Linked DNA regions of Stegostoma tigrinum. The protein of the gene in region 4 purifies or fractionates together with the protein of the main gene of each other region. This does not show direct contact. Links are inferred from orthologs where the notes say so. Each region holds a gene or a part of one and is shown on either strand. Other genes may lie near its edges.

Region 1 (7,154 bases), on a different chromosome or scaffold from region 4:
GAATGCTTCTGTCAAAGGGTGCTTTACATTAACCATTTCTATCTATGGACACTTGAGAATTCACAGCATCAAGTTCTTATTTCCGATTTCAAGCATCCTTTTATATTTTGCTTTTGAACTTTCTCACCAAGTAGTCAGAAAATAAATTTTACAATCATGGTAGGGCCCTGGGGAGTGTTGTTAAACAGCGAGACCTATGGGTTCAGGTACACAGTTCTTCAAAAGTTTCATCATAGGCAGACAGGATCGTAAAGGCGGCAATTGGCATGTTTGCCTCCACTGCTCAGACTCTGAGTGAAGCAGTTGGAACATCATGTTGCAGTTGTACAGGACACTGGTGAGGTTACTTTTGGAGTACTGTGTCCAGTTCTGGTCACCCTGCTGTAGGAACCCTTACCTTTAGTTACCCTTATTAATTTGGAGCGGGTGCAGAAAAGATTTACAGGATGTTACTGGGACTCGAGGGCTTGAGTTTACATAGAGAGACTAGATAGGCTGGGAGCAAAGGAGATTTGGGGGATTGTAAGATCTTGTTGGGCATGGATAAGTTGAATAGCAAAGGTTTCTTTCCTATGGTAGGGAAGTTCAAAGCTAGCAGTTATACTTTTAAGGTGAGAGGAAGATTTAAAAGGGACCCGAGGAGCAAATTTTTCCACAGAGGGTAGATCGTGTATGGAATTAACTACCAGAAGTGGTAGATGCAGGTACAGTTACAACATTTAAAAGACATTCATACAGGTACATGAATAGGAAAGGTTTAAAGGGATATGAGCCAAATGCAGGTAAATGGGACTAGTTTAGTTTGGGAAACGTGGTCAGTATGGACGAGTTGGACCGAAGGGTTAGTTTCCATGCTGCATGACTCAACCCTTTTTTTCATATATAGGGAATAGGGAAACAAGAGAAATTCCAAATCTCAGAATTAGTGTTTATGATGCAAAATAGTTATCAAAGTAAATTCAAGAATTAACAAAATCATGTCAAAAATACCCATGTCAAATTACTCAAATATAAACATGTTAGAACCTTCCAAGAATATTGACAGGTGCTTAATATATGTGGATGACAAATTGATTCAACAACAGGTTGCATTCACGCAGTGCCTTTAACACAGTAAAACAAAGCAAGATACCAAACTGGACACTGTGCTACGACAGGAGATATTAGAGTCAATGCTCAGTCAACGTATTTTCAGAAGCAAAAACAGAAATTGACAGAGCAATTGAAGACAGGAAAAGTAAAGAGGTTTAGCAAGGAAATACCAGAGTTTAGAGCATCGGCAGGAGTCAACAATGTAATTAAAGTCAAGTTGTCATAGATGTGTGTCACAAGGAAGGGAAAAATGTCACTCTGCAATAACTGCTACTCCCTGCTCACACTACAACGCTAATGACACCACTAGCGGAAGAAAACAGATCCCAAATAAAAGTAGTGTGTTGATCCTCTCCTGTTACTGCTGCATCAAGTGCTCTTTGCAGACAAACTCAATGCAATGTGAGATTATTGTACAGGTTCAATATGAAAAGGGTGGTTAAAACAAACATCCAACTCCCTGCTAACCAAGTGCTTCTGGAGATCAGGTACCATGAAGACTGGATGGAGGTGGTCCTCAACAGAAGGGAGATAACAAAGTGTGGAGCTGGATGAACACAGCAGGCAAAGCAGCATCCCAGGAGCACAAAAGTTGACGTTTCAGGTCTAGGCGTCAAATATCAGCTTTTGTGCTCCTGGGATGTTGCTTGGCCTGCTGTGTTCATCCAGCTCTATACTTTGTTATCTTGGCTTCTCCAGCATCTGCAGTTCCTGTTATCTCAAAGTGGCTTGGTCCTGGGCCCCAGATGATAGGGGGTCCAAAGGCATGAGGATCTGGAGACAGAGGTCCAAGACATTTGGTTTCAAGGAGGTGGGAGAGAAGGAAGGCCTGGTGAGTGAGGGTCCTGAAGAAGAATGCATCCTGTGAAAACAAGGGTCCAGATGAGAGGGTGTGCTCTGGACAATGTGGGTCATGGACATTGGGTTGGACCAGGGAAGAGTATGGTCTTAGGAGAAGGGAACAGGTGACCTGGAGTAGGGAAGGGAGGGGGGGTGGTTCATCCTGGGGTAGACAAGGTGGGGGGGGCGTGCGATCCTGGGGAAGACAGAGGGGGTTGGAATTCCAGAGGCAAGAGAGTAGGTCGAGGGGAGTACCTGGATGAAGATGATGGGGGGGGGGCGCGCGGGGGAAATCAGGCGGAAGTGGGAATTCCGGGGGCACAAGGTCCAGGATGGGGGGGGGGGGATTGGGGAGGGAGTGGGATCGGGGGAAGGAGTGGGGCTGGGATCGGGGGAGGGAGTGGGGCTGGGATCGGGGGAGGGAGTGGGGCTGGGATCGGGGGAGGGAGTGGGGCTGGGATCGGGGGAGGGAGTGGGGCTGGGATCGGGGGAGGGAGTGGGGCTGGGATCGGGGGAGGGAGTGGGGCTGGGATCGGGGGAGGGAGTGGGGCTGGGATCGGGGGAGGGAGTGGGGCTGGGATCGGGGGAGGGAGTGGGGCTGGGATCGGGGGAGGGAGTGGGGCTGGGATCGGGGGAGGGATTGGGAGAGGTTCCTACCACCCCCACCCCACCAGACCCAGCCCCAGACCTACCGACAGTGGATTTGCAGGCCTCGCTGAAGGTGTCGTCTGTGAAGCGTTCCATCAGGCTGGTCTTGCCAACTCCCCGGCTGCCGATGATGATGACCTGCAGCTTGTAGTCGGCGGGCCGAGGAGGCTGCCTCCTGCGCCGCGAGCTAGCGGGACTGGGCTTCGGGGAGGCCCCGCCGGCAACCGGCAGGCTGTTGGACGAAAGGGACCGGGAGTTGGAGCTCAGGCCTCCCCCGCCGGGCCCTCGCCTCTTGGCTCCGGCTGTCCGATCCATCGGCCCCCGCTGTCCCTCCTCCTACCCGTTACTGTCGCCTCTTCCCTTCCGCCAACAACACTCCGCCGTCCGGAGGGCCAGGTCCGAACCCTCCAGTATCCCACATAGCACTGCGCGGGCTGCCTGACGTCACGCCCCGTCCCACTCTCACAGGTGGAGCCCCGGAGCTGCAACACCGCGGCAAACCGCCAGGGCGGCGCTGCGATAGGGTGAAAGGCAGCAGTGAGTTTCAGGAGTTGATTTCGCCCATGCTAGATAGGCGTTTACATTGGTTGTCTTTATGGAGTATTTTTAATATACTTAAAGATCTCAAACTACTTCACAACAGGCCCCAAGCCACTTAAAAATGTACAATTTGACAGCCCAAGGCTAGGTCAAAGTATCTTAAAATTTGGAATGATAAAGAAGACAATTTGAATAGTGTAGATGTCTTAACCAGTTCTCTAGCATCCCATTCTTCTCTGTTTTTGTGGCATCCTCTACATCGGGGAAACCAAGCGGAGGCTTGGGGACCGCTTTGCAGAATACCTCCGCTCGGTTCGCAATAAACAACTGCATCTCCCAGCCGCGAACCATTTTAACTCCCCCTCCCATTCTTTGGATGACATGTCCATCCCGGGCCTCCTGCACTGCCACAATGATGCCACCCGAAGGTTGCAGGAACAGCAACTCATATTCCGCTTAGGAACCCTGCAGCCCAATGGTATCAATGTGGACTTCACAAGCTTCAAAATCTCCCCCTCCCCCCACTGCATCCCAAAACCAGCCCAGCCTGTCTCCGCCTCCCTAACCTGTTCTGCCTCTTACCCATCCCTTCCTCCCATGTCAAGCCGCACCTCCATATCCTACCTACTAACCTCATCCCACCTCCTTGACCTGTCCGTCTTCCCCAGATTGCCCTATCCCCTCCCTACCTCCCCTCCACCTATCTTCTTTTCTCTCCATCTTCGGTCAGCCTCCCCCCCCCTCCCTATTTATTCCAGGACCCTCTCCCCATCCCCCTCTCTGAAGGCGGCTCTAGGCCCGAAACGTCAGCTTTTGTGCTCTTCAGATGCTGCTTGGCCTGCTGTGTTCATCCAGCCCCACACTTTGTTATCTTGGATTCTCCAGCATCTGCAGTTCCCATTATCTCTGCCAGCAATAACATGGTTTATGGGTGGCAATCTAATGAATCATTCACAGCCACTTCTCTCAAACCAGGCAGGTGGCTCATGTTTTGCTTCGGGCTCTAGTATCATGATGACTCCTGTAAAAATACACTGCAATTCTCTTGCCATCAAATGGAAATTTTATTCACTTCTGTTTCATTCCTGCCAATGGCCGATTAAATGCGATGCAGATGAGCTTGAAAATTTCATGATTTAGCCGGATTTTGTGGGCAGGAAATTGGCTGTTGGAGAGTGTGGTGGGGGCATGGTGATGGTGGAAGGGAAGAATTTGAAGCTGCTGTTCCCACTCCTTCCCCAGTTGGATAAACTGTAGTAGACGCCCAACATCGGGTTCCTTAGTGGGGAAGGAGCAGCAATGATAGGCCAGAATGACATGAAAGTGGAGCATGGGGGCAGGGAGATGGATGTGATTGACAATAGAGCACGTGCTCAATCCTCCCGCGCTCTCGAGCATGTGGTAGTTGACGTTGTGCATGCGGTTGGGTGAGGGAAAGGGGTTGAGAAGCGGGATGGATCTAAAAGTTTCCGCAGGAGAGTGGCCGTCATTGTCTGTGGGCGAGAGTTGCTTCCAGGTGGCAAGATAAGGGAGAGCATTGGCCAAATCCCCACTTTCCATTTCTTCCAGAATCCACCCCTCTTCTCCCACTCCATTCCCCAATGGAAGGAAGAAATTCCCTTCCCCATTGGAACTCCTTTTACACCTGGCACGATTTTATGGTTATTCGTTCATTGGGCATGGGGGTGTGACTGATTGAACCAGCATTTTATTGCCCCTCCCTTGGTTGCTTTTGGAGGGGGTTGGGGTGAGCAGCCTTCTTCAACTGCTGCTGTCCATGCGCTGTGGGTTGCCCCACATTGCCGTCAGGGAGCGTTTCCAGGATTTTGACCCAGAACTCCTGGTGGTGTTCCCATCTGTCTGCTGTCCTTCTAAATGGAAGTGGTTTTATGTTTGGAAGATACTGTCCTAGGAGACGTGGAAAACTTTTGCACTGCACCTTGGACTTGTGGTAGCAATGCCAGAGGTCAGTTTGTGTTCCCAGCAGCGTCTGTGTGTTCAGCGCAGATTCATGGAGGTAGAAGCAGAGACGGGTTTCAGTGCAGTATGAGACCCAGTGGCAACAGCAGTGGCTGCATTGGCAAAGTGTGCCTAAAGTGGACTCAAAGTGTTGGTGCAATTGAGTTTGGGCTGGTGTTTTACCCATCGGCATCGGTGTTACTTGCATTGGTGAGGACCAAAGAGGGCACTGGTGGAGGTGAAACAGAAAGCAATGGTCAATAGATGTTTTTCTATGTTCTCCAGGGCTTGGTATTGGGACCCTTACTTTTCCTGATATTTGTTAATGATCTAGATCTTGGTATGCAAGACAACGATTTCAAATTTAGCAGAAAATACAAAACTTGGAAGTGTAAACTGTGAGGAGGACAGTATGGAACCCCAAAAGGACATTGACAAGTTGGTGGAGTGAGTGGATCGGTGAAAGATGAGATTCAATGCATGAAAAGTGTGAGGAGATGCCTCCTCTGATGCTGCCTGACTGACAAACTCTTTGTGTCACATTTACTGGAAAACTAAAATCCCTCAACAGTACAGAATTCTGAAATCGTTTTATGTTTAAGGAATACCTTGTATTTTTTATTCTTTCTACCAAAGTGACCAATTTAAATTTTTCTGAATCATACCTTATCAGCCAGATTCTTCCCCATTCACTTAAACAATCTAAATCTATGTACAATTTCTTTGTTTTCTTCACAACAAACTATCTTAATTATCATAGTGTCTTCTATGAATTTAGCCTCCATGCCTTTGCTTTCCCCCCTCTAAATCAGGAATATAAATTGTAAAAAGTTGAGGCGCCAGCAGAGAACGGTGTAGAATTCTATTCATAACATCTTGCCAATCAGACAAAGACCCATTTATGGATACCCTCTCCCTTCCGCCAGTGGACCAATCTTCCATCCATACTAATATTGTTATCTCTACACAGTGAGCTAGCAGTTTCAACAATAAACTTTGATGCAGTTCCTTATCAAATGACTTCTGGAAATCCAGGTAGACTGCACCTACAGATTCCCTTTTATTTACAGTAAATGGTACACCTCAAAAAAACCACAATAAATTGAGTAAGATTTCCCATTGACCAAATGGTGACTGTTGCTGATTACCTTGAATTTTTCCAACTGTGCAGCTAAAATCTCTTTAATGATTTTATTCCAACAACTTTCCCATAATCCTGCTCTGATTTCCCCATCAAGATAATTCGTTATATTTTCCTGTTTTCTCCCTCCTTACCTTCATATATTTGAGTTATATTTGCGACCTTCCAGTTTGATTGCAATGTTTCTAAGTTGAGGAAATTTTTAAAACTAAGCACCAAAGCAACCACTACTTCATTAACAACCTCTTTTAAGATCCCAGGATAAAATCTGTCTGGACTGGGAAACTAGTCAGCCTGCAGCTCCATCAGTTTGCTTGGTATTTCCCAGTTAAGATGGCAGCAGAGCAGGACACTCCAACCAGAGCTCATCCACACCACCGACTGTTCTTCTTTTGCTTCTCTGTTTCCTCCTCCTGGTACTGTTTTCTCTGCTGCTTTTTCCCTTTGACTCCTGGTGTCTGGTGACCTCCGATGAGCTCTGGCGAGGAGCGATGATCCCTGGCCTGCGACGATGATTCCTAGCCTCTGGCGATGCAGCAAACTCCTGTAGCAGTTTCCCGCGTAGTGTGGTGACCTTCTGGCCTCCTACAGCGGCCTCCCAGTGTGCCATGTTGCCTCCGCAGCATGAAGCCAGGGCCTTGTGCAGACCGGAAGCTAAGTGCCAGCGTGGTCCACTGTACTGAACATTTTTCTGTAATATTGGACATTTTATTTCTTTATTGTCTAAAATCTTGTAACAAAAGAAGGTGTGCATAAGTACTTCTGTATGTAAGTTCTCACTGTAATTGGTGACGAGTAAATGTTTCACTATACTCATTGAGCAGCTATGACAATAAAGGCTATTATGTTCTTTAATTATAGTTATAATTTTGCTAAATTCCTCTCCTTTCAATTCCTGATTTACAATTATGATTGGAATGTTTTTAGAAATCCT
Region 2 (7,555 bases), on a different chromosome or scaffold from region 4:
TCAGAGGTCTCACCATCTTTAATAGTAATTTAAATGACATGAAGAAATCCAAGCTTGCTAGAAAATGGATGGGTATAAGTAAAAATTACAAAGGATATCAATTAATTCAATAGGCAAAACAGTGGCAAATGGACTTCATGTTGGCAAACAAATTTCAACATAGCCTAACATGAACTCTCACTTTTGACCTGTAAACATACTTCATTTTTTTAAAAAATAGTTAAAAGCTAGAAATGACAGATCTAAAGACACTGACAGGTCCAGAAAATAACTAGAAAGGCTAATAGGATGCTGGCCTTCAAATCTAATGCAAACTTCAACACAAAGGAACAGAAGTCATGCTACAGCTATACAAAGCCCTAGTTAAATCACATGTGAGGCACAACAAGCAATCTGGACACTAAACCCCCAAAAAAATTTACTAGCTAAAAGAAACTATTGTTTGATGAGCCTAGGAAGAGGTGGGAGAATCAAAAACTAGAACCAGACCTTTCAGGAATAAAATTAGGAAATATTTTCTCACACAAAAGCTTGCAAATGCTTGAAATTCTCTTCTGCCATTCTAGGTCAATTGTTAATTCTAAATTTAAGACTGAAAGCTTAGGTTAATAAAGTCCAGCAACGGACATAGCACCAGATCCCTGATCAACCATGATTTCATTCAGAGTCCGAAGAGGCACAAGGAGCTAAATAGCAAACTGTGGAAATGATTTATAGTACTTTGTTTGCAACTGACCACACCCACAACCAAATTAACAACTGAGCTATGGTAACTAGACTGTATCCAACAAGAATTTATCACTTCCTCTGATTAGGCCATGTTAGTTAACTGAGAAGTTAAAATGCAAACTATATTTAAATGAAACATATTTATTAAAAAATATAACAACTTGGGAAATTTTCAGCAGCCTTCATATTTATATGTACAGATTCAGAGATTAAATCTCCAGTCATACTATGACTTTTTAGCTACCTGACCTTTTCTCAACCAACTGTCCTAAACAGGTTTAAAAGAAATTAATTGTCAATAAACTAATCCTTTTGTTTAAAATGAAAGCACATTTAAAAACAGGAAGAGAATCAGCAATAAACTACTCAGTCTCTCGAGTCTGCTTAATCACTGAACTAATGATCTCCAGCAATGCAATTTTCCCACAGAATCTTCTTATCCCTTTGTCTTCAACAACCTAAAAATCTACTGACCTCAGTCTCAAACACACTCCAAATAAATCATCACATCCTCTTGGCTAGAGAATTTCAAAGATTCACAACTCAGAGCTAGGAAATCTCACCTCATCTCAGCCCTATCTGGTCTACCTCTTATTCTGAGACTGTGTCACCTGGTTTTAGACAACGTCAGCTGAAAGAAACATCCTTCCTACATTTATCTTGACAAGTTCTTAAAGAACCTTCAATTAAGTCACTTTTCATTCCTTTAAACCTAATGATAATAGGCCTCGTCATTACTTAGACAATCATAAAATCCCAGCAATTAATTTGGCAAATCAGTTTTGTTCTCTCTCTCTCTCACTGGCAAGTACATCCTTCCTTTGGAAGAGACCAGAACTGTACACAATGCTACTCCAGGTGCACTGCCATCAAGATTCCAAAAACTGGCAGCAAAATCTTTTTGGTCCTGAACTAAAATGCTCTCACATTAAGGTCAATATACTACTTGCCTTCCTAACAACGTGCTCTGTGACTTTTGCACATCAGCACTTCCTAGTCTCCCATAATTTTAAGAGATTTTATATTCCATTTACCACGTTTTTATTCATTCACATAGCCTGCCTGAATCTCCCTTTTGCATCTTTCCATCCTCGTCACAATACACATTCCCATCATGTTTTGTAGTATCTGCAAACTTGGAAATGTTACATATAGTCCCCACACCCAAATTCTTGAAACATATGATGAACAATTAGGACCTGGCAATAGAGCACACCAGTGACAACCGCCCAACCTAAGAACAGGCGATTTTTCTGACTGTTTCTCCTTCCCGTAACCAATTTTCGAACCAGAACGCTTTATGTATAGTGCTGTTGTAAAGTAGAAAAACGCTCAAATTAGAAGCCCTAAAACCATTTAAAACGATTTCCAAAAGGCCAAGATACCATTAACCAAGTTTAGCATAAAAACGGCAGCTTGGTTTTAAAATGCAATCGGCGCTTCAGAAAGCAATGACAAACCATACTGGCACAAAACACAGTTTATACACACTAAAAAAAACAAACGAAATGATCCAAATGGTGTTTCTGGACAAATATCAACCTCAGCAGGTTTAACTGCACATCCTGCCACCATGAGCAGAAGAAATGTTGAGGGACACATACGTTTTCAGTTTTTTTCAAAAAACCTAAAACTCCCCCTGGCCGAGGCTTCACTACATTACACTGGACAATCCTGTTATTTATACAACAAAAAAAACTGTAAGATCAGGCGCAAGGCCCAAACTGTGGTTCGGACATCCGCCCAGAGCCCCCACCCAAGACAGCGGCAGCTGAACAGGCCTGGGCCTGGGCCGGAGGCACTGACCGCCCTCTCTCCCTCACTTACCTATTGTGGAGATAAAAGTGGTATTAAAGGCGTCATCCGAGAACCTAAAAAGCACACAGGTTTTCCCCACTCCGGAGTCTCCGATCAGCAGCAACTTGAAGAGTAAATCGTAGGTTTTTTTCGCCATAATCCCTCCCTTCCTTAGGTTGATGAGCTGGGGCGAGGAGTGTTCTTATTTTTATAATTAAAAAAAGGAACAAAATGGCGCCTCTCTAGCTCTTTCACTTTAACAGCGTTCCGGCCGCAACAAGTTAGATGCCATGAATTTCCATTGATCTGCCTTGTTCAAAACAAAATAAAAATTGGCACACGGGCCGGTAACCGTGCCCTTAGTTAAACTTTCTTTTTTCTTTCTCCCTTTCTTTTCACTTCGCTAAGACATTCGGGAGCAGCACCACCAATTTCATTCAACGTCGACGTCAGTCTTCGGACAAACCAAACGCAACCACATGGAGGGCATCCACCCAAAACACTGACACCCCCCCCCCTCAAAACCACTCTCCATCAGTGGAATAGTCCGCCCCGCCCACTCAGAACGAAGCGCCCGTTCATTCTCCAAACCACGGAGGGGTGGGGTCTCCACATGTCAATCATCGATCGACAGCCCGCCCGAATGGATGACGTCATGGGGTGATGAGGATCGCCGGCGCGGCGTCAGGACTGTGTGTTCCTTTGGTGAGATAGCTGACGTTATGTATGTATGTGTATATGTCTGTGTGTTTGTCAATGTACAGGTGTGAGCATGTATATGTGTGAATGCATGTCTGCACGTGTGTGTACGTGTAAATGTGCATGAATGCATGTATATATGTGTGTATGCATGTATATGTGATATATATGCATGAACGTTTACATACATATACATTTCTACATGCATGCATCTGTGTACATGTGTATGTATGTGCATATGTATGCATGCATGTGTGCAAGTGTGTGTGTGTGTGTGTGTGTGTGTGTGTATGTATATAAATGCCACCTAGGTGGATAGAGTTGTTAAGAAGGCGTATGGTGTGTTAGCTTTCATTAACAGAGGGATTGAGTTCAAGAGCCATGAAGTTTTGCTCCAGCTATACAAAAGCCTGGTTCAGCCACATCTGGAGTATTGTGTCCAGTTCTGGTCGCCTCATTACAGGAAAGATGTGGATGCATTCAAAATGTTGCTGAGTAGATTTACCAGAATGTTGCCTGGAATGGAGGGAAGGTCTTACGAGGAAAGGTTGAGAGAGATAGGGCTTTTCTCTTTACAACGACAAAGGACGAGAGGTGACTAGATAGAGGTGTACAAAGTGATCAGAGGTATAATAGAGTAGACAACCAGAGATGTTTTCCTAGGTTGTAAGTAGCTTTTACAAGGGGACACAGTTTTAAGGTGAGTGGAGGTAGATACAGGGGAGACGTCAGAGGTAGGCTCTTTACTCAAAGAGTGGTAGGAGTGTGGAATGCTTACATGCGTGTGTGCAAATGTGTGTGTATTTGTGAATGCGTACATGCGTGTGTGCACATGCATTTGTGTATTTGTGAATGCATACATGCATTTGTGCAAACGCATGTGAGTGTTTGTGAATGCGTGCATGCGTGTGTGCAAACACACGTGTGTGTTTGTGAATGCATATATGCGTGTGTGAATGCGTACATGCATGTGTGTGTGAATGCGTACATGCGTGTGTATGAATGCGTACATGCGCATGTGTGCGTGAATGTGTACATGCGTGTGTGTGAATGCGTACGTGTGTGTGTGAATGCGTACGTGTGTGTGTGAATGCGTACGTGCGTGTGAATGCGTACGTGCGTGTGTGTGTGAATACGTACGTGCGTGTGTGTGTGTGAATGCGTACGTGCGTGTGTGTGTGTGAATGCGTACATGCGTGTGTGTGTGAATGTGTACATGCGTGTGTGTGAATGCGTACGTGTGTGTGAATGCATACGTGCATGTGTGTGTGAATGCATACGTGCGTGTGTGTGAATGCGTACGTGCATGTGTGTGTGAATGCGTACGTGCCTGTGTGAATGCGTACATGCGTGTGTGTGTGAATGTGTACATGCATGTGTGTGAATGCGTACGTGTGTGTGTGAATGCGTACGTGCATGTGTGTGTGTGAATGCGTACGTGTGTGTGTGTGAATGCGTACGTGCGTGCGTGTGTGTGTGTGCGTACGTACGTGTGTGTGTGAATGTGTACATATGTGTGTGTGTGAATGTGTACATATGTGTGTGTGTGAATGCGTACGTACGTGTGTGTGTGAATGCGTACGTGTGTGTGAATGCGTACATGCGTGTGTGCGTGTGTGTGAATGTGTACGTGCGTGTGAGTGCGTACGTGCGTTTGAATGCATACGTGTGTGTGTGAATGCGTATATGCGTGTGTGTGTGTGAATGCGTACGTGTGTGTGAATGCGTACATGCGTGTGTGTGTGTAAATTTGTACATGCATGTGTGTGAATGTGTACGTGTGTGTGTGTATGCGTACATGCGTGTGTGTGTGTGAATGCGTACGTGCGTGTGTGTGAATGCGTACGTGCGTGTGTGTGAATGCGTGCGTGCGTGTGTGTGAATGCGTACGTGTGTGTGAATGCGTACACGTGTGTGTGAATGCGTGTGTGTGTGTGTGAATGTGTACATGCGTGTGTGTGAATGCGTACGTGCGTGTGTGTGAATGCGTATGTGTGTGTGAATGCGTACGTGCGTGTGTGTGAATGCGTACGTGTGTGTGTGAATGCGTACGTGTGTGTGTGAATGCGTACGTGCGTGTGTGTGTGAATGCGTACGTATGTGTGTGTGAATGCGTACATGCGTGTGTATGAATGCGTACATGCGCGTGTGTGCGTGAATGTGTACATGCGTGTGTGTGAATGCGTACGTGTGTGTGTGAATGCGTACGTGTGTGTGTGAATGCGTACGTGCGTGTGTGTGTGTGAATGCGTACGTGCGTGTGTGTGTGTGAATGCGTACGTGCGTGTGTGTGTGTGAATGCGTACATGCGTGTGTGTGTGAATGTGTACATGCGTGTGTGTGAATGCGTACGTGTGTGTGAATGCATACGTGCATGTGTGTGTGAATGCATACGTGCGTGTGTGTGAATGCGTACGTGCATGTGTGTGTGAATGCGTACGTGTGTGTGAATGCGTACATGCGTGTGTGTGAATGCGTACGTGCGTGTGAATGCATACGTGTGTGTGTGAATGCGTATATGCGTGTGTGTGTGTGAATGCGTACGTGTGTGTGAATGCGTACATGCGTGTGTGTGTGTAAATTTGTACATGCATGTGTGTGAATGTGTACGTGTGTGTGTGTATGCGTACATGCGTGTGTGTGTGTGAATGCGTACGTGTGTGTGTGAATGCGTACGTGCGTGTGTGTGAATGCGTACGTGCGTGTGTGTGAATGCGTGCGTGCGTGTGTGTGAATGCGTACGTGTGTGTGAATGCGTGCACGTGTGTGTGAATGCGTGTGTGTGTGTATGTGAATGTGTACATGCGTGTGTGTGAATGCGTACGTGCGTGTGTGTGAATGCGTACGTGTGTGAATGCGTACGTGCGTGTGTGTGAATGCGTACGTGCGTGTGTGTGAATGCGTACGTGCGTGTGTGTGAATGCGTACGTGTGTGTGTGTGAATGCGTACGTGTGTGTGTGAATGCGTACGTGTGTGTGTGAATGCGTACGTGCGTGTGTGTGTGAATGCGTACGTATGTGTGTGTGAATGCGTACATGCGTGTGTATGAATGCGTACATGCGCGTGTGTGCGTGAATGTGTACATGCGTGTGTGTGAATGCGTACGTGTGTGTGTGAATGCGTACGTGTGTGTGTGAATGCGTACGTGCGTGTGTGTGTGTGAATGCGTACGTGCGTGTGTGTGTGTGAATGCGTACGTGCGTGTGTGTGTGTTAATGCGTACATGTGTGTGTGTGTGAATGTGTACATGCGTGTGTGTGAATGCGTACGTGTGTGTGAATGCATACGTGCATGTGTGTGTGAATGCATACGTGCGTGTGTGTGAATGCGTACGTGCATGTGTGTGTGAATGCGTACGTGCCTGTGTGAATGCGTACATGCGTGTGTGTGTGAATGTGTACATGCATGTGTGTGAATGCGTACGTGTGTGTGTGAATGTGTACATGCGTGTGTGTGAATGCGTACGTGTGTGTGAATGCATACGTGCATGTGTGTGTGAATGCATACGTGCGTGTGTGTGAATGCGTACGTGCATGTGTGTGTGAATGCGTACGTGTGTGTGAATGCGTACATGCGTGTGTGCGTGTGTGTGAATACGTACGTGCGTGTGAATGCATACGTGTGTGTGTGAATGCGTATATGCGTGTGTGTGTGTGAATGCGTACGTGTGTGTGAATGCGTACATGCGTGTGTGTGTGTAAATTTGTACATGCATGTGTGTGAATGTGTACGTGTGTGTGTGTATGCGTACATGCGTGTGTGTGTGTGAATGCGTACGTGTGTGTGTGAATGCGTACGTGTGTGTGTGAATGCGTACGTGCGTGTGTGTGAATGCGTGCGTGCGTGTGTGTGAATGCGTACGTGTGTGTGAATGCGTACATGTGTGTGTGAATGCGTGTGTGTGTGTATGTGAATGTGTACATGCGTGTGTGTGAATGCGTACGTGCGTGTGTGTGAATGCGTACGTGTGTGAATGCGTACGTGTGTGAATGCGTACGTGCGTGTGTGTGAATGCGTACGTGCGTGTGTGTGAATGCGTACGTGCGTGTGTGTGAATGCGTACGTGTGTGTGTGTGAATGCGTACGTGTGTGTGTGAATGCGTACGTGTGTGTGTGAATGCGTACGTGCGTGTGTGTGTGAATGCGTACGTATGTGTGTGTGAATGCGTACATGCGTGTGTATGAATGCGTACATGCGCGTGTGTGCGTGAATGTGTACATGCGTGTGTGTGAATGCGTACGTGTGTGTGTGAATGCGTACGTGTGTGTGTGAATGCGTACGTGTGTGTGTGAATGCGTACGTGCGTGTGTGTGTGTGAATGCGTAGGT
Region 3 (6,957 bases), on a different chromosome or scaffold from region 4:
ATGACTTTCCACATCAAGCAGATGTTCACCTGCACATCTGCCAATGTGGTATACTGCATCTGCTGTACACGGTGTGGCTTCCTCTACATTGGGGAAACCAAGCGGAGGCTTGGGGACCGCTCTGCAGAACGCCTCCGCTCGGTTCGCAATAAACAACTGCACCTCCCACTCCCCCTGCCATTCTTTAGCGACATGTCCGTCCTGGGTCTCCTACAGTGCCATAATGATGCCACCCATAGGTTGCAGGAACAGCAATTCAAATTCCACTTGGGAACCCTGCAGCCCAATGGTATCAATGTGGATTTCACCAGCTTCAAAATCTTCCCTCCCCCCCACTGCATCCCAAAACCAGTCCAGCTTGTCCCCGCCTTCCTAACCGGTTCTTCCTCTCACCTATCCCCTCCGCCCACCTCAAACCGCACCTCCATTTCCTACCTACTAACCTCATCCCATACCCCCCCGACCTATCCCCTCCCTACCTCCCCACCCATACTCTCCTCTGCACCTGTCTTCTCCTCTATCTATCTTCGGTCTGTCTCCCCCGCTCTCCCTATTTATTTCAGAATCCTCTCCCCATTCCCCCCTTTCTGATGAAGGGGCTAGACCCGAAATGTCAGCTTTTGTGCTCCTAAGATGCTGCTTGGCCTGCTGTGTTCATCCTGCTTCACACTTTGTTATATATAATCAATCTTTGATGATTGGTTGGCAGTTAAATCATTATCAATAACATGACATTCATACAGCACTTTAATGTATGTTAGCATTGCATGCTGCTTTATGAGCATGTATTCAGGCTGAAATTAGCCAAAGTGACAAATACCAGGACGGGTGGCAGTGGAGTAGGACTCCTGAGCAGGACCTCATCCACTCTATCTGCTTCTTTTCTGTTTTTCTCACTATTTTTGCATTTCTTTCCATTCTGTTTACACCTTGCATTCTTGGGTGGCATCAAGGACATCCAGGGTAAAAGCCAGTGCAGACTCATGACCTCAGCACGGATCCAGAAGCCCAGCCCCGGCGCGGACCCAGGCTCCTGGCCTCAACGTGGACTCAGTGCGGAATCGATTTCCCAGCCTCAAGGTGAAGCCTGGTGTGGTGTGGGTTGGAAGGACTGTTATTCTGACCTCTTATTCCTCTACTTTTCTTATTTATTGCTGGACATTTTATTTCTTTATTTTTCTAAAATTTTCCTTAAGAATTTGTATTTCATAATCTGTACCTGGGTACTTGGTACTGAAGATGGTGCCATAATTGGTGACTTGTAAACTTTCACTATACTCATGTGAGGACATGTGACAATAAAGTTAATTCTAATTCCATTTCTAATTCTAAGGTGGTCAAAAGCTTTTGATAGCATTTAAAGAGGGTTTTGTCCATTAAAGGAGGAGAAAGAGAGGCAGAGAGGTTTAGGGATGGAATTCCAGAGCTTAAAATGTGCTAAAAACATAATCACAAAAATGGATCAAAGGACGTTGATGCATGAGAAACTAGAGTCGGAGTAATGCAGACATCAAGTTTCTCTTACGCACTCATTCACTCGTGCCTGCATTCTCTCTCTCACTCACTTACATACATCTACTGCCACTCACTCACTTACTCACTCACACATCCACTCTTTCAGCCACACAGTCAGTCAGTCACCCATTCATTCGCAGAAATTGGTAGCAATAAACCAAAGGAGTCCTGGGGAAGCAATGGAATAGAGAAGACTGTGATATTCTGCAATTGTACAGAACAACCTTCACTCTATGTCTACCTAAAACATCAGTGTTTACTAGCCTCAGTTCACTATCTATACTTGCTTTTCCAGTATCCAAAACTTGAGGACAACTTAAAACATTTCGTATCATTTCCTTGACCAGGAGCCAGAAGTACAATTTTAACTCGGTCTTTCCAGAATCTCAAAGGGCACCTCACCTCCCTCTGATTCTATTTTCTCTCATTGACTTTGGTTTAATGTCACCTAAAATTTCAAGTTTGGTCAAACTTGATCTCCTATCCTTCTGGCTATGTTATTTTAGTTTCTCGCAATGACAAACATCTCTTTAGCAGATGTTTTAAAAGTTTATGTTCATTAACTTACGTATATATTTCAGACACAGCATTTCATCCAAAGTATTTTACCTGAACTGAAAGCTGAATATTGGAACTTTCAATGTTAAAATGAGAACACCTCCCATCTTTATGAGCTCTCTGGAATTTAAGCCCGGATACAAAGCATATTAAATATGTGTCTGATGAAGGTCTCTGATGAAGGGTCTAGGCCCGAAACGTCAGCTTTTGTGCTCCTGAGATGCTGCTTGGCCTGCTGTGTTCATCCAGCCTCACATTTGATTATCTTAAATATGTGTAATGGTTTGCTCATGGTGGACCTATACTTGAGTCCACTATAATTGGATGCAGACCAAAAGTGTCACTGTTGGGAAGGGAGGTGTAAACTTGTAATGTGCATTTCTTTACATAAGCAGAAAATTACATCAAGATTTGTTCAGATCTATTCATCCCCATGTGGTTTTCTGGGACAGAACACAAACTGTACAATCGCCCCTGCAGCCCTGATTTCCTGGCTCAGATAGTAGATTTCTGGAAAATGAGCCTGCAAAAAAAAATTGCTTAAGGGAAAACAGATATATGTTGCTCAGTGTTCAGTTCTTGGCAGTACTATAATACAAAGGCCTAGTGGCAAAGAGTTGGGTGGGACCAGCAAAAAATCCAAGCCTGAAAACTGGTGAACTAATCTAAGATGATTCCATGAGAGTGCAATTTATTTTGTTTTAATTCATTCATAGGATGAGGGCATCACTGGGTGGGCCAGCATTTATTTCCCATCCCTAATTGCCCAGGGTGCAGTTAAGAGTCAACTACATTGCTGTGAGTCTGGAGTCACATGTTGGCTAGACCAGGTAAGGATGGCAGGTTTCCTTACTTAAAGGACATTAGAGAATGAGATGGGTTTTCTAGACAATCGGTAATGGGTTCATGGTGATCATTTGACTCCTAATTCCAGATTATTATTGAATTCAAATTCTACCATCTGCTTTGGCCAGATTCAATCCCAGGTCCCCAGACCATTATCCGAATGTCTGGATTAATAGTCTAGCGATAATATCACTGGGCCACCACCTACCCCACATTATCATACCCGGGGAATTCAGATGGAGTAAGGCTGAATTGTTAGGGAGATTACTTGGTGATTAAATCCTACATTTTGGGGAGCTGAACTCTACCTTAGGGGGCCCAGACTTGTGGAGGATTGTTGTAAAGACCTACTTGGTACAGTAATGCCCTACAGGGAAGGAAATCTGCCCTTCTTACCTGGTCTGGCCTACATGTGACTCCAGACACATAGCAATGATGTTGAAAATGACATAGCAGGTCACTAAATTCAAGAGCAAGTACAGATGGGCAACAAATGCTAACCAGTCAATGATGCCCACATCCCATTAAAGAATTATTCTAAAAGTAATAACTGGAAAAATTCAGCAGATCTGGGAGCAAATGTAATGAGAGAAAGCAGAGATCACATTTCAGTCCACTCTGAAGTAGGCTTACTGGACTCAAACTTTAATTCTGTCTCTCTCTACAGATGCTGCTAGACCAGCTGAGTTTTTCCAGCAATTTTCTGTTTTTGTTTCAGATTACCAGCATCTGTAGTTCTTTATTTTAGAGACTGCAGTGGTTTGGGGCATGGAGGAGTAGACAGGAAATCAATGAGATTCACGTCCACATTGCTGACGTTAGTGTAACTGTCCCAATTTAGAACAATCTGTAGTTACAGACCATCGCCTGTTGGGGAACGAGGAGTTGAAGAAAGAAATGACTACAATCCCCAGTTGTCATTGCGGCGTTGACGTTCACGCACGGCGCCCGCGTACGTCGGACGAAAGCCAATCAGCCGTAGAGCATGTGATTGGCGTGAGGCCCCGCCCCCAGCGTCCGCGCACGCGCAGAGTTCTGGGTTTCACCGTCGGCTGCAGTCAGCTCCCGCCCGCCATGGCCAAGACGTACGATTACCTCTTCAAGCTGCTGCTGATCGGCGACAGCGGCGTCGGTAAAACCTGCCTCCTTTTCCGCTTCTCGGAGGACGCCTTTAACACGACCTTCATCTCCACCATAGGTGAGTTCGGCAGTGAGGGAGGGATCGGGGGGGGGGAGAGCGCCAATCTCGGGGCCTGCCGTTTGCTTTAGGGGCGCCCCAACTCATCCCCTCCCACCCCCATCCTACCCCGCCATCACCCCCATCCTACCCCGCCATCATCCCCATCCTACCCCGCCATCACCCCCATCCTACCCCGCCATCACCCCCATCTTATCCCCCCGTCCCCCCATTCCCCCATTTTCCACCCCCACCAGCCCCCCCCATTTTTCACCCCCACCAGCCCCCCCCATTTTTCACCCCCCCGCCCCCCCCATTTTTCACCCCCCCCGCCCCCCCCATTTTTCACCCCCCCGCCCCCCCCATTTTTCACCCCCACCGCCCCCCCCATTTTTCACCCCCACCGCCCCCCCCATTTTTCACCCCCACCGCCCCCCCCATTTTTCACCCCCACCGCCCCCCCCCATTTTTCACCCCCACCGCCCCCCCCCCATTTTTCACCCCCACCGCCCCCCCCATTTTTCACCCCTACCGCCCCCCCCATTTTTCACCCCTACCGCCCCCCCCATTTTTCACCCCTATTCACTCCCCCTCTGACTGTCCACTTCTTCCCTCCCCCCATTTTACCATCTCCTGTATTTCCCCTTACCTGCCTCCACCCCCAGGTCTCCCCCACAGCTGCCCCTGTCCCACTTGATGCCCATGGCCCTCCACCCCCTCTGACCCCTTGCGTGTTCCCTGCTAAACCACCTCAATCTACTCCTTCCTACCACCTTTCCATCTCTTCCCTACAGCTCCCTCAACCTCCGAACCCCTGCTTCTATTACCCCACACTCTCTCCTATCTCTATAAACAAGGCAAGTTCCCAATTAAAAGACTTTTGGTTCAGGCAGTGGGATGCCAGAAATTGGCCTGATGTTGAATAGGGTGAAAGAGTCTTTATGTGATTCTTGGTGGCCTCTGTGGAGCAGAACCTCTTGTGTGGCACAACTCTGTGAATCTGCAGTTTCAAAGTACGAGCAGGAGAGCTACTGCTGAGACACATTTGAAACTTGAATATTAAGTATCAGATATTTGCTGGAATTTTGGAAGTAAAGATCTGAATGAAATTTGTTTTGGAATGTAATTGAGCAAAAATACTAATTTAATTGAGTTAGAAGTTAGAGGTCAGTGTTTCAGGTTATGTTTTTTTTGCCCAAGTTGCAAATGTTTTAAAATATTGTACAGATTTGTGGATACTTTAGTGCTTTGGTCAGTAGTAAACTACTTTCAGAAAAGCATATTATTTTGTAGCATGTTTCAAAAATAAACTTCATACTTAGGATGTTTGAAACCAAATTGAATATTGTTTCGTACACCTGTGGAGATATTACTACTTGTCTCAACTGAGCTTTGAAAATTTATACTAATTCAAAAATACTTCAGTCACCTTTTTTGGGAAAAAATGCCATTTTTCTATTGCATACAAGTCTCAGTTAAATTGTTTGTTTTTTTCAACACAAAAACTGACATTTGCTTCTCGGAAGTGGTCTTTCATTTTTGATTTTCTCAAATGAAATATTTGTGCTTCCTCTTGAGAGATTTGGTGGTTGCTTAGAATCAGAACATGAGTATGTTAGCAGATGATCGCAGTGTAATAGTTACAGAATCTTTTCATATGTTGATTCCTTGGTCAGTGTGGAGGCAATGGCCTACTGGTAATATTGGACTATTAATTCAGAGGCCCAGGTAATGTTCTGGGAGACCCGGGTTCAATTCCTGCCATGGCAGATGGTGGAATTTGAATTCAATAAATATCTGGAATTAAGAGCCTGATGACTGTGAATCTACTGTGGATTGCTGAGAAAACCAACTGGTTCTCTAAGGTCCTTGATAACAAAGTGTGAAGCTGGATGAACACAACAGGCCAAGCAGCATCTCAGGAGCACAAAAGCTGACGTTTTGGGCCTAGACCCTTCGTCAGACTTCATCTGCTGTGTTCATCCAGCTTCGCACTTTGTTACCTTGGATTCTCCAGCATCTGCAGTTCCCATTATCACTAAGGTCCTGAACTGGTCTAGTTTACATGCGACTCCAGACTCTTAACTGCCCTCTGGGCAATTAGGGATGGGCAATGAATGCTAGATAGTGACACCCTCATGGGATGACAGGCATTTTTATATTCGTTCATGGAATGAGGGTGTCGCTGTCTAGCATTTATTGCCCGTCCCATGAATGAATATAAAAATGCCTGTCAGTTTGTCGAGATGGGGCCCCAGTAGTGGTACTGGTGAGTGTTTTATGGTGATGGATTTAAAATTGTAGTACAAAATGAACATATGTTACTGTATTATCTTGCCTACTGTTTCTCCTGCAGTATATTGTTAAGCCTTTTAATATTTACTAGGAGTACTGAATAAACTAACATCAACTGTGAACTTTATAGCTAGGTATGATGTATATTCGCTGCACACTTCAGATCTTTTCCTAAGGTACATTTACATTTAACTCTAGCATGTTCATGCAATGTGGTTGTGGCTTGTACAGATAACTGAAGTTGTGTGTGAATTTGAACTGAAATTTGTCCTGACTTTAGACAGGATGTGAATGTAGTGTAGTTCCAGTGTTGCATCAAGTTGATGCTTTTTAAAAAAAAGCGAAACAAACATTTTCAATGAACTGCAGGTGCATTTTCAAAACAGCGGACATCCCCTCACCACCACCAACCATCTGCATGCAGAGCAGGGCTAAAGGGCAGTCGTTAATATGGCTGAGACACTGATTATAAGTAGTGCCTATGTTAATCTTATATTTTTGCCTTTATTTATACATAATTAACTTTTTTATTTAACAACCCTTAACAAAAATTTGTTGTGAAAACC
Region 4 (7,767 bases):
ATCCTATGATGCAGTAGACAAAATCCACTCAGATGGAGTAATTAGGAAGGAGAACTGGTTACTGGCATTCCTACTATTTGTAGACTAAGGCCGACTACAGATGAAAGGCTCGCAAATGACCGTTTTGGTCATCAGCACTCAACTCTTACAGAACCACACTCCATTTTAAAACCACTGCCCATGGGAGAGAAAATTGGTGTGATGGGGAAACATAAGGTATGATTCCAAAGTAGGTTAGGCCAGCTGGGAGAAGTGTTGAAAGACAAAGATCTTCTGTAAATACAGCCCTCCTATCATGAATATTTAAAAGACCAGCAATATCACAGAATATCCTAAAATTCAGACAGCTAAGTTCTCTAACAAGTCAAAAGGCACACAGTCTTTCTTTCCCACTCAAATACAAATACAGAGCTACAGAATCTATGTTCCAAATCATAGATGCATACATCATGAATTGAACATAAAAGATGAGACAGAATCAGTTTAAAGCAGTCACATGTTCCTCCTGCAGGCAAACAAACAGACTCTACAAACAAAGACTCCATTTTAAATGGCAGGCCTAAGATTTCATGCAGCATTTGACCAAGAATTCAGTCAATAAGCAAGAATGATGAAGAGTAAACTTTTTATCATAAAAGCATTTTTTTCATAAAATGTATTACAAATTTGCAGGAAAGGTTCCTTTAAAAGCACAAGTTCAGATATTAATAAATAAACCAAACACTTGTACTGATATTTATATACATTTCTACTCACACAAGGAAAACAAGGCAGCACCCACAAAACAGGTAGCAGGAACTGCAGATGCTGGAGAATCTGAGATAACACGATGTAGAGCTGGATGAACACAGCAGGCCAAGCAGCAGAGGAGCAGGAAGGCTGACGTTTCGTGCCTAGAATTTTCTGAAGGGTCTAGACCCGAAACATCAGCTTTCCTGCTCCTCTGATGCTGCTTGGCCTGCTGTATTCATCCAGCTCTACACCTTGTTATCCCACAAAACAGGTTCTCGTTTTACTTTTCTCTCTGCCACAGGAAACGAAGAAATTTCCATGAATTTGGCTCTTGGCTGGCAAAATGGTGTTGTAAGCGTTTCACCGATGAGGGAGGGGGAAAAAAGGGACAAATCAAAAGAATAAATGGGAAAAAAAATCAAAAGCTTGCTTGAAAGAAATAGGTTTTAAGGGGTTCAAATGAAACCAGGGAGGTGTGGGTGAGAACGAAATAATTCAAGAAATATGAAGGAGAGATTCTCAATGATAGGCTCAAAGAAAGTCAGGGATACAATAAAACCTCAGGGTCAGTGAGGAGGTGAAGACTTGCAACACCAGAGTTTACTTTAAAAGATAGGGATAAGCCAGGCCTTGGGAAAATATAAACTACTGAAACTACACCACTGGGGAAACAGGACAACAGTGACCATTGAAGGTAGAGAGTAATGGATAGACCAGCCATCATCTTAAAAGATGAAACATAATTAATGGATTTACTAACTGGAAAACAATAACATTTTTCACAGTATTTCATTGGCTGGTCTGCAATCATTTATTGACTGCTTTTTAACTTTAAAGCCAGTTCCTTAAAGCACAGGGCAGCACGGTGGCTCAGTGGTTCACAATACTGCCTCAGTGTTCAATTCCACCTTCAGGCGACCGTCTGTAGAATTTGCACATTCTTCTCGTGCCTGCGCGGGTTTCCTCCAGGTGCTCCAGTTTCCTCCCACAGTCCAAAAGATGGGCAGGATTGGCCATGCTAAATTGCCCATGGTGTCCAGGATTGTGCTGGCTCCATGGTCAAGCCATAGGAAATACAGGGATGATTGGGAGGGGTTATTGGATCTGGTCAGGATGCTCTTTGAAGGTTCAGTGTGCACTAGATTGGCCAAATGGCCCGTTTCCACACTGCAGGCATTCTACAATTCTGATTGATTCCTGCCACTCGATGTTAATAACAATGAGACATTTTAACAGGAGCTTAAAAGTAATAGTCTGTGACTTGTAATGAACAAAAACATTGATGTAGGGAATATATACATGGATAAAAATCTCTCTACATCACTAATGGAAGAATAGAGTAAACAATTTAGGCATTAATTTTTGATTGAAGAAAAACAAGGGGCTTCCTTTTCTCAAAGATTTGGTTAACTTCGGTATTATTTCTATTGATTTTTTCCCCCATTTCATAGCCTTGTAATTCTTTCACAAAGTGTGGGTAATAAAAGGCCAGCATTTGCTGCCCATCCCAAATTCTTGTGGCTCTGGAATCACATGCAGGGCATTTATGAATAACGTGGCTTTGATTTTTTTTAAACAAAAAGCAGTGTTTTCCAACCACCATTACAAGTAATATGTTTTAATTCGAATCAAAATTCAAAAAGCCACCAATGTAGTCTTCAGCTCCTGTCCCTAAGCCTCTGGATTACTCTAAAGGTACTCTCAAAATTTCAAAAAATAATTTTCAAAAATTAAAAAAAAAATTCTCAAAAATCAAGGGAATGCTCGAAACACACGTCAAATTAGGCAAGATTTGAGACGAGTTTTCCCCGCCTCAATAATAACTTTAAACTTTACCATTCTGAGATTTATGTAGCAAACCAACACCCACAGTGCATGCTGCATCTGAGAAAGGCTTAAGAAACGTTATATTAGTGAATAATTCTCTTTACAATATCCAAGTTGGACAATCTACATGACAGCAGCAATCCAGTCAACAGGCCACTATAATTCCATTTCCTCCACCTATTCATCAAATATTAATATCACACAGTCGGGGGTGGGGAGAGAAAGGCTGTTAGTTAAATAATAGAATAAAGGCTCACCTTCAATCCAGTCCCTAGGACAATCACATCATATTCTTCATCCATTTTTTTACTTGTTATTCACTGTACCACCGTTAATTTTTGGTTAAAAACCTGAGGTTTATTGTGGAAGGGCTGGGCTGGGCTGAAGCTGACTGGATGGAGCGGATCACCATATGCCGTGACACTACCCGCACTTCAGACGGTGTCCATCCGCCATCAGCCAATAGTGCGCCTTATTTTTTTTCCGAAGAGTTCACCGCCTTTTCGTCTCGGGATCGACAAGAATGCCTCGGGACATTGATTTGAAGGATAAGCAAAGTTCTCCGAGGGTGAAAAGCAACGAAACATCGAGGTATTCTGGAATTCCCTTCCCCCTCTTTCGACATAGTCCGAAGAAAAAGTAGTGCCACCGTCGACGGCCAGGATACAACGGGGCACTGCGCAGGCGTACAACCCGTGGGACTTCTGGGGATTGTAGTCCACAGCGGGGGGGTCAGAGTCTGTGTGCTGGATAATATGCACCGCAATGAAGCATGGGAGACGTAGTTCCAAAGTAGGGCACAATTCCCTATTCTCTACAAACAAAAACAGAAATTACTGAGAAATTACTGAAAAAACTGTGCAAGTCCGGCAGCATCTGTGGAGAGAGAAAGTAGAATAACGTTTCGTCCAGTGATCCTTCTTCAGAACACAGTCCTCCATTTCAAAATGTCATTGACAGCATTCGTCTGCATGCAAGCGTAATACAAGGCCCAGTGCAACTGCCAGGATGCTCAGGAGACATGGTAATTGAAAGATAATTCCAACTGTATTAAGGAGGAGGAAAAAAGAAGAAAATAACATTATAAGGATCGTCTTTAAATTGAAGCAAGGAACTGATCTTAAAAAAAAATTGGATATCCCAGCAGGTGTGGAGAGAGAAACAGAGACAATCTTTCAGGTCTCCATCAAAGGACCTTCTTTATCAGGAGCAATTATTTGCAGTTCTAGAGACTCTAGAATTTCTCAGTAAATTGCTGTTCAGTTTAGGTGGTAGAAATTTAAGGGAACAAGTGCAGTTTGCAGGCAAATAGGGTTCACTCCCATTTAAATTATTACCCTCATCAAAGATATTATTGTTCTTAGCCACATTTTCAATGGCCTGACCACTCCATATCACTGTAATTCCCTGCAGTTTCACAATCTTTTGAAATTGCTTCTTGAGCATCCCAGATGTTAACACTTCCTCCACTGGTGGTTATATTTTCAGCTGACTAAACCACTAAAATTTTGATAGTGGAAGGAGGAGTAGGAATAGTAGTGGTGGTAATGTCCGTGGACTAATAATTTAGAATGCACAATAATGATCTGATTCAAATTCCATTACAACATATGATAAACTTTGAATTCAGAAAAAAATGTGGAGTTAAAAAATAATCTAACTGCAGTCGATTACCTTAAAACTCAGCAAGATTACTATAATAAGATAATAGAATGTGAGGCTGGATGAACACAGCAGGCCAAGCAGCATCTCAGGAGCACAAAAGCTGACGTTTCGGGCCTAGACCCTTCGCAGCGCTGTCAGGCTGGAGGTGCGGTTCGGAACGTCGAAGCGAGGTCACGGACGGTTGCGGGTAGGGGGACCCTCGCGTGGTCGTAACGGATGGTTTGCACGGTACCGACAAAAGTTTGGCTCGAGGGATGACTTTCAATAGATCGCAGCGAGGGAGCTGCTCTGCTACTTACAAAACCCTGAGCCAGAATCAGGTCGTCTGCGAATGATTTAGCACCAGGTTCCCCACGAACATGCGGTGCGTCTAGAGGAGAGAGGTGGCGCCCATACGGCCGCGCTCCTGCCCAGAATCGAACGGCACTACGCACCGACCGGAGTCGGTTATCCCAGGCCAACCAGAGATCCGCGGCGCTAGGGTATCCTTACGTTTAGGCGGGATTCTGACTTAGAGGCGTTCAGTCATAATCCCACAGATGGTAGCTTCGCACCATTGGCTCCTCAGCCAAGCACATACACCAAATGTCTGAACCTGCGGTTCCTCTCGTACTGAGCAGGATTACTATTGCAACAACACATCATCAGTAGGGTAAAACTAACCTGTCTCACGACCGGTCTAGGCCCGAAACGTCAGCTTTTGTGCTCCTGAGATGCTGCTTGGCCTGCTGTGTTCATCCAGCCTCACATTCTATTATCTTGGAATTCTCCAGCATCTGCAGTTCCCATTATCTCTGATACTAAGATTACTATACGTCCTTTAGGGAAGAAAACCTGCTATCCTTTCCCGGTTTGGCCTACATGTGATTCCAGACCCACAACAATAGAGTTGACACTGGATAATGAGGGAAGAGCAATAAAAACAGACCTAGTCAGAGATGCCACCTTCTGTGAATTTTTAAAAAAAATTTCATAAATTTCTTTGCGACATTCCTTGAACCTTCTTCGATGAAATTATTGGCCTTCTGCCACAATGTTGCTTTACATGGCTTGGCATTAAATTTGGTTGTTTAACTTGCCTGTGATTTGCCTTGGGACATTTGATTACATTTAAGGCATTGCATAATTGTAACTCGACGTGGTTAGCTTGTATGTTTCATACCTGAATCTTGGACACACTGAATTCACCTACAACTCACAGGCCAAAATTCTTAAGTATGTCAAACATGAAAACTTGAATTTGATTTACGCAGAGGCCCTAAGATAAAGTCAGGAATTAAGTATTTGATCTACAATAAAATCCAAACAATAAAATGACATTCCATGATTCTATTTACTGTTATCCCAAATTAAAAATAAATGATGACGAAGTTGTTTCATAATGGGCTAAATTTAAAAAAGCTCAGATTTAGGAATGGCTGGGACCAACGTCATTTCTCTTCATGCTGCAATAGTAAGACAAGCTTGTAGGAAATCAGAGCAGGAAGTCCATTCAGCTCCCTAAGCCTGCTCTGCCACTATTTAATAAGATAATTGCTGATCTGATTCTGGCCGGAACTCCTCTTCTCTGGCCTGATCTGCATAACCCTTGTTTCAAATTATGTGTTTAATGGCTGCCACACCCGAATGAAAGCAAATTACAGTAGATGTTGAGGTCACATGACCAAAGGAAGATCAGCTAGTAGGTACAATGCGCAGATGCAAACATCCCCTTTTAGACAGAGAAAGAAAATTGTACGCACTATTTTCAGCAGCTATGGGTCACCCAAAATGATCACTCATGAACAAAACTGAAAATTCTAGTCTATCCCACTTTCATCAGTCTGTATGTGCATGCATTGACTTGTTTTCTCTGAGGTTTTCAGGTCTTTTGATAAGATTTAGTTGAGTAACTGCCAGTTTGTCTGGTATCTGTTCATTCCTAGGGTGATGTTCTTTTCAAACAGTTACATGTCACAGACCAATCCATGCCGAATATAATCCCAAACTGAACTCGTCTCACCTGCCTGCTCCTGGCCCATATCTATTCATATATTTTTCCAAATATCTTTTAAACATTGTAATTGTACCTACACTTCATCAGGAGATTTATTCCACATGCAAACAACCCTCTGCGTAAAAAACTTAACCCTCGTCTTTTTTTAAATCTCTCGCCTCTCACCTTAAAAATGTGGTGCCAAGTCTTGAAAACCCTCCACTATGGAAAAGACAATGAGCATTAACTCTATCTACCCCTCATTATTTTATAAACCTCTATATTGTTCTTTCAACTATGACTTCCAAAGCATTTTGAACTGTTGTTACTAGTCTTTTGATTTGAGTTAAGCTGCTTCTTTTCTGTGAATGAATACCAATGCAAATCCTGGGCAGTGAGTTTGCACAGATGTTTGCACTCTGATGACAAATCAGGCAAGAATTTTGCTAAACAGTTCATCAAAAATCTGATGAATCATTGTACTGTATTTACACCTTTGCAACAACTTTCACCTTGCCAAGATCCAAGCAAAGTCGTTTACCATCAGTATATGCCCTTGATCCAGCCATCTTCAATTTCTTTTGTTTTCTTGCTCTATTCTCTTAACATATATTTTCTTCCGTTGTGTGATTACTGCCTCTTCTGCTTTGACTTGCTTACAATTAACTGCCATTACCTCAAAGAACAATATCTTAGCCTTCTTATCATTCTATCCTTTTCTTTTAGGACTTCTGAGTCAGTGGGGCTGCAAGTTGATCTGTCTTGTATTTCTTTGAGGACAGCTGAAACTCTCCTTGGAAGATGTTGAGTTGGTCATACACTTTCACCTACTTCAAAATGATATTTACTGGGAGATGTCCAAGAACTGTAAGATCATATCTTTAATTATCTAGGATCTGTTCAACAGTCAGCAGCTCAGTGGCATAGAAAACATTTCAGATCTCTAAAATAACAAAGTGTGAAGCTGGATGAACACAGCATGCCAAGCAGCATCTCAGGAGCACAAAGGCTGACGTTTTGGGCCTCGACCCTTCATCAGAGAGGGGGATGAGGAGAGGGTTCTGAAATAAATAGGGAGAGAGGGGGAGGCGGACACAGGCTGGGCTGGTTTTGGGATGCAGTGGGGGAGGGGACGAGCTGGGCTGGTTTTGGGATACAGTATATTCCGCTTGGGAACCCTGCAGCCCAATGGTATCAATGTGGACTTCACAATCTCCACTTCCCCACTGCATCCCAAAACCAGCCCAGCCTGTGTCCGCCTCCCTAACCTGTTCTTCCTCTCACCTATCCACTCCACCCACCCCAAGCCGCACCTCCATTTCCTGCCTACTAACATCATCCCGCCTCCTTGACTTGTCTGTCCTCCCTGAACTGATCCATCCCCTCCCTGCCTCCCCACCTATACTCTCCTCTCTACCTATCATATTTTCTCTCCATCTTCAGTCCGCCTCCCCTCTTTCCCTATTTATTTCAGAACCCTCTCCCCATCCCCCTCTCTAATGAAGGGTCTAGGCCTGAAACGTTAGTTTTTGTGCTCCTGAGATGCTGCTTGGCCTGCTGTGTTCATC

The links.
Region 1: the proteins of rab GDP dissociation inhibitor alpha (region 4) and rab12 purify together in Homo sapiens (co-immunoprecipitation; 4 studies listed by BioGRID and IntAct, counting the BioPlex papers as one, with this or other methods). This does not show direct contact. The link is inferred for Stegostoma tigrinum from reciprocal best matches to the Homo sapiens genes GDI1 and RAB12.
Region 2: the proteins of rab GDP dissociation inhibitor alpha (region 4) and rab10 purify together in Homo sapiens (co-immunoprecipitation; 4 studies listed by BioGRID and IntAct, counting the BioPlex papers as one, with this or other methods). This does not show direct contact. The link is inferred for Stegostoma tigrinum from reciprocal best matches to the Homo sapiens genes GDI1 and RAB10.
Region 3: the proteins of rab GDP dissociation inhibitor alpha (region 4) and ras-related protein Rab-8B purify together in Homo sapiens (affinity purification with mass spectrometry; 3 studies listed by BioGRID and IntAct, counting the BioPlex papers as one, with this or other methods). This does not show direct contact. The link is inferred for Stegostoma tigrinum from reciprocal best matches to the Homo sapiens genes GDI1 and RAB8B.

Annotation. Positions count from the first base shown.
Region 1 is NC_081358.1:113,911,417-113,918,570, reverse strand, and holds the start of rab12 (ras-related protein Rab-12), read right to left. Parts: upstream 3,001-7,154; 5' UTR 2,896-3,000; coding exon 2,625-2,895; intron 1-2,624. UniProt on the Homo sapiens protein: The small GTPases Rab are key regulators of intracellular membrane trafficking, from the formation of transport vesicles to their fusion with membranes.
Region 2 is NC_081357.1:131,664,880-131,672,434, reverse strand, and holds the start of rab10 (ras-related protein Rab-10), read right to left. Parts: upstream 3,001-7,555; 5' UTR 2,684-3,000; coding exon 2,557-2,683; intron 1-2,556. UniProt on the Homo sapiens protein: The small GTPases Rab are key regulators of intracellular membrane trafficking, from the formation of transport vesicles to their fusion with membranes.
Region 3 is NC_081389.1:9,829,024-9,835,980, forward strand, and holds the start of ras-related protein Rab-8B, read left to right. Parts: upstream 1-3,957; 5' UTR 3,958-3,993; coding exon 3,994-4,117; intron 4,118-6,957. UniProt on the Homo sapiens protein: The small GTPases Rab are key regulators of intracellular membrane trafficking, from the formation of transport vesicles to their fusion with membranes.
Region 4 is NC_081364.1:9,593,297-9,601,063, reverse strand, and holds the start of rab GDP dissociation inhibitor alpha, read right to left. Parts: upstream 3,001-7,767; 5' UTR 2,862-3,000; coding exon 2,817-2,861; intron 1-2,816. UniProt on the Homo sapiens protein: Regulates the GDP/GTP exchange reaction of most Rab proteins by inhibiting the dissociation of GDP from them, and the subsequent binding of GTP to them. Promotes the dissociation of GDP-bound Rab proteins from the membrane and inhibits their activation.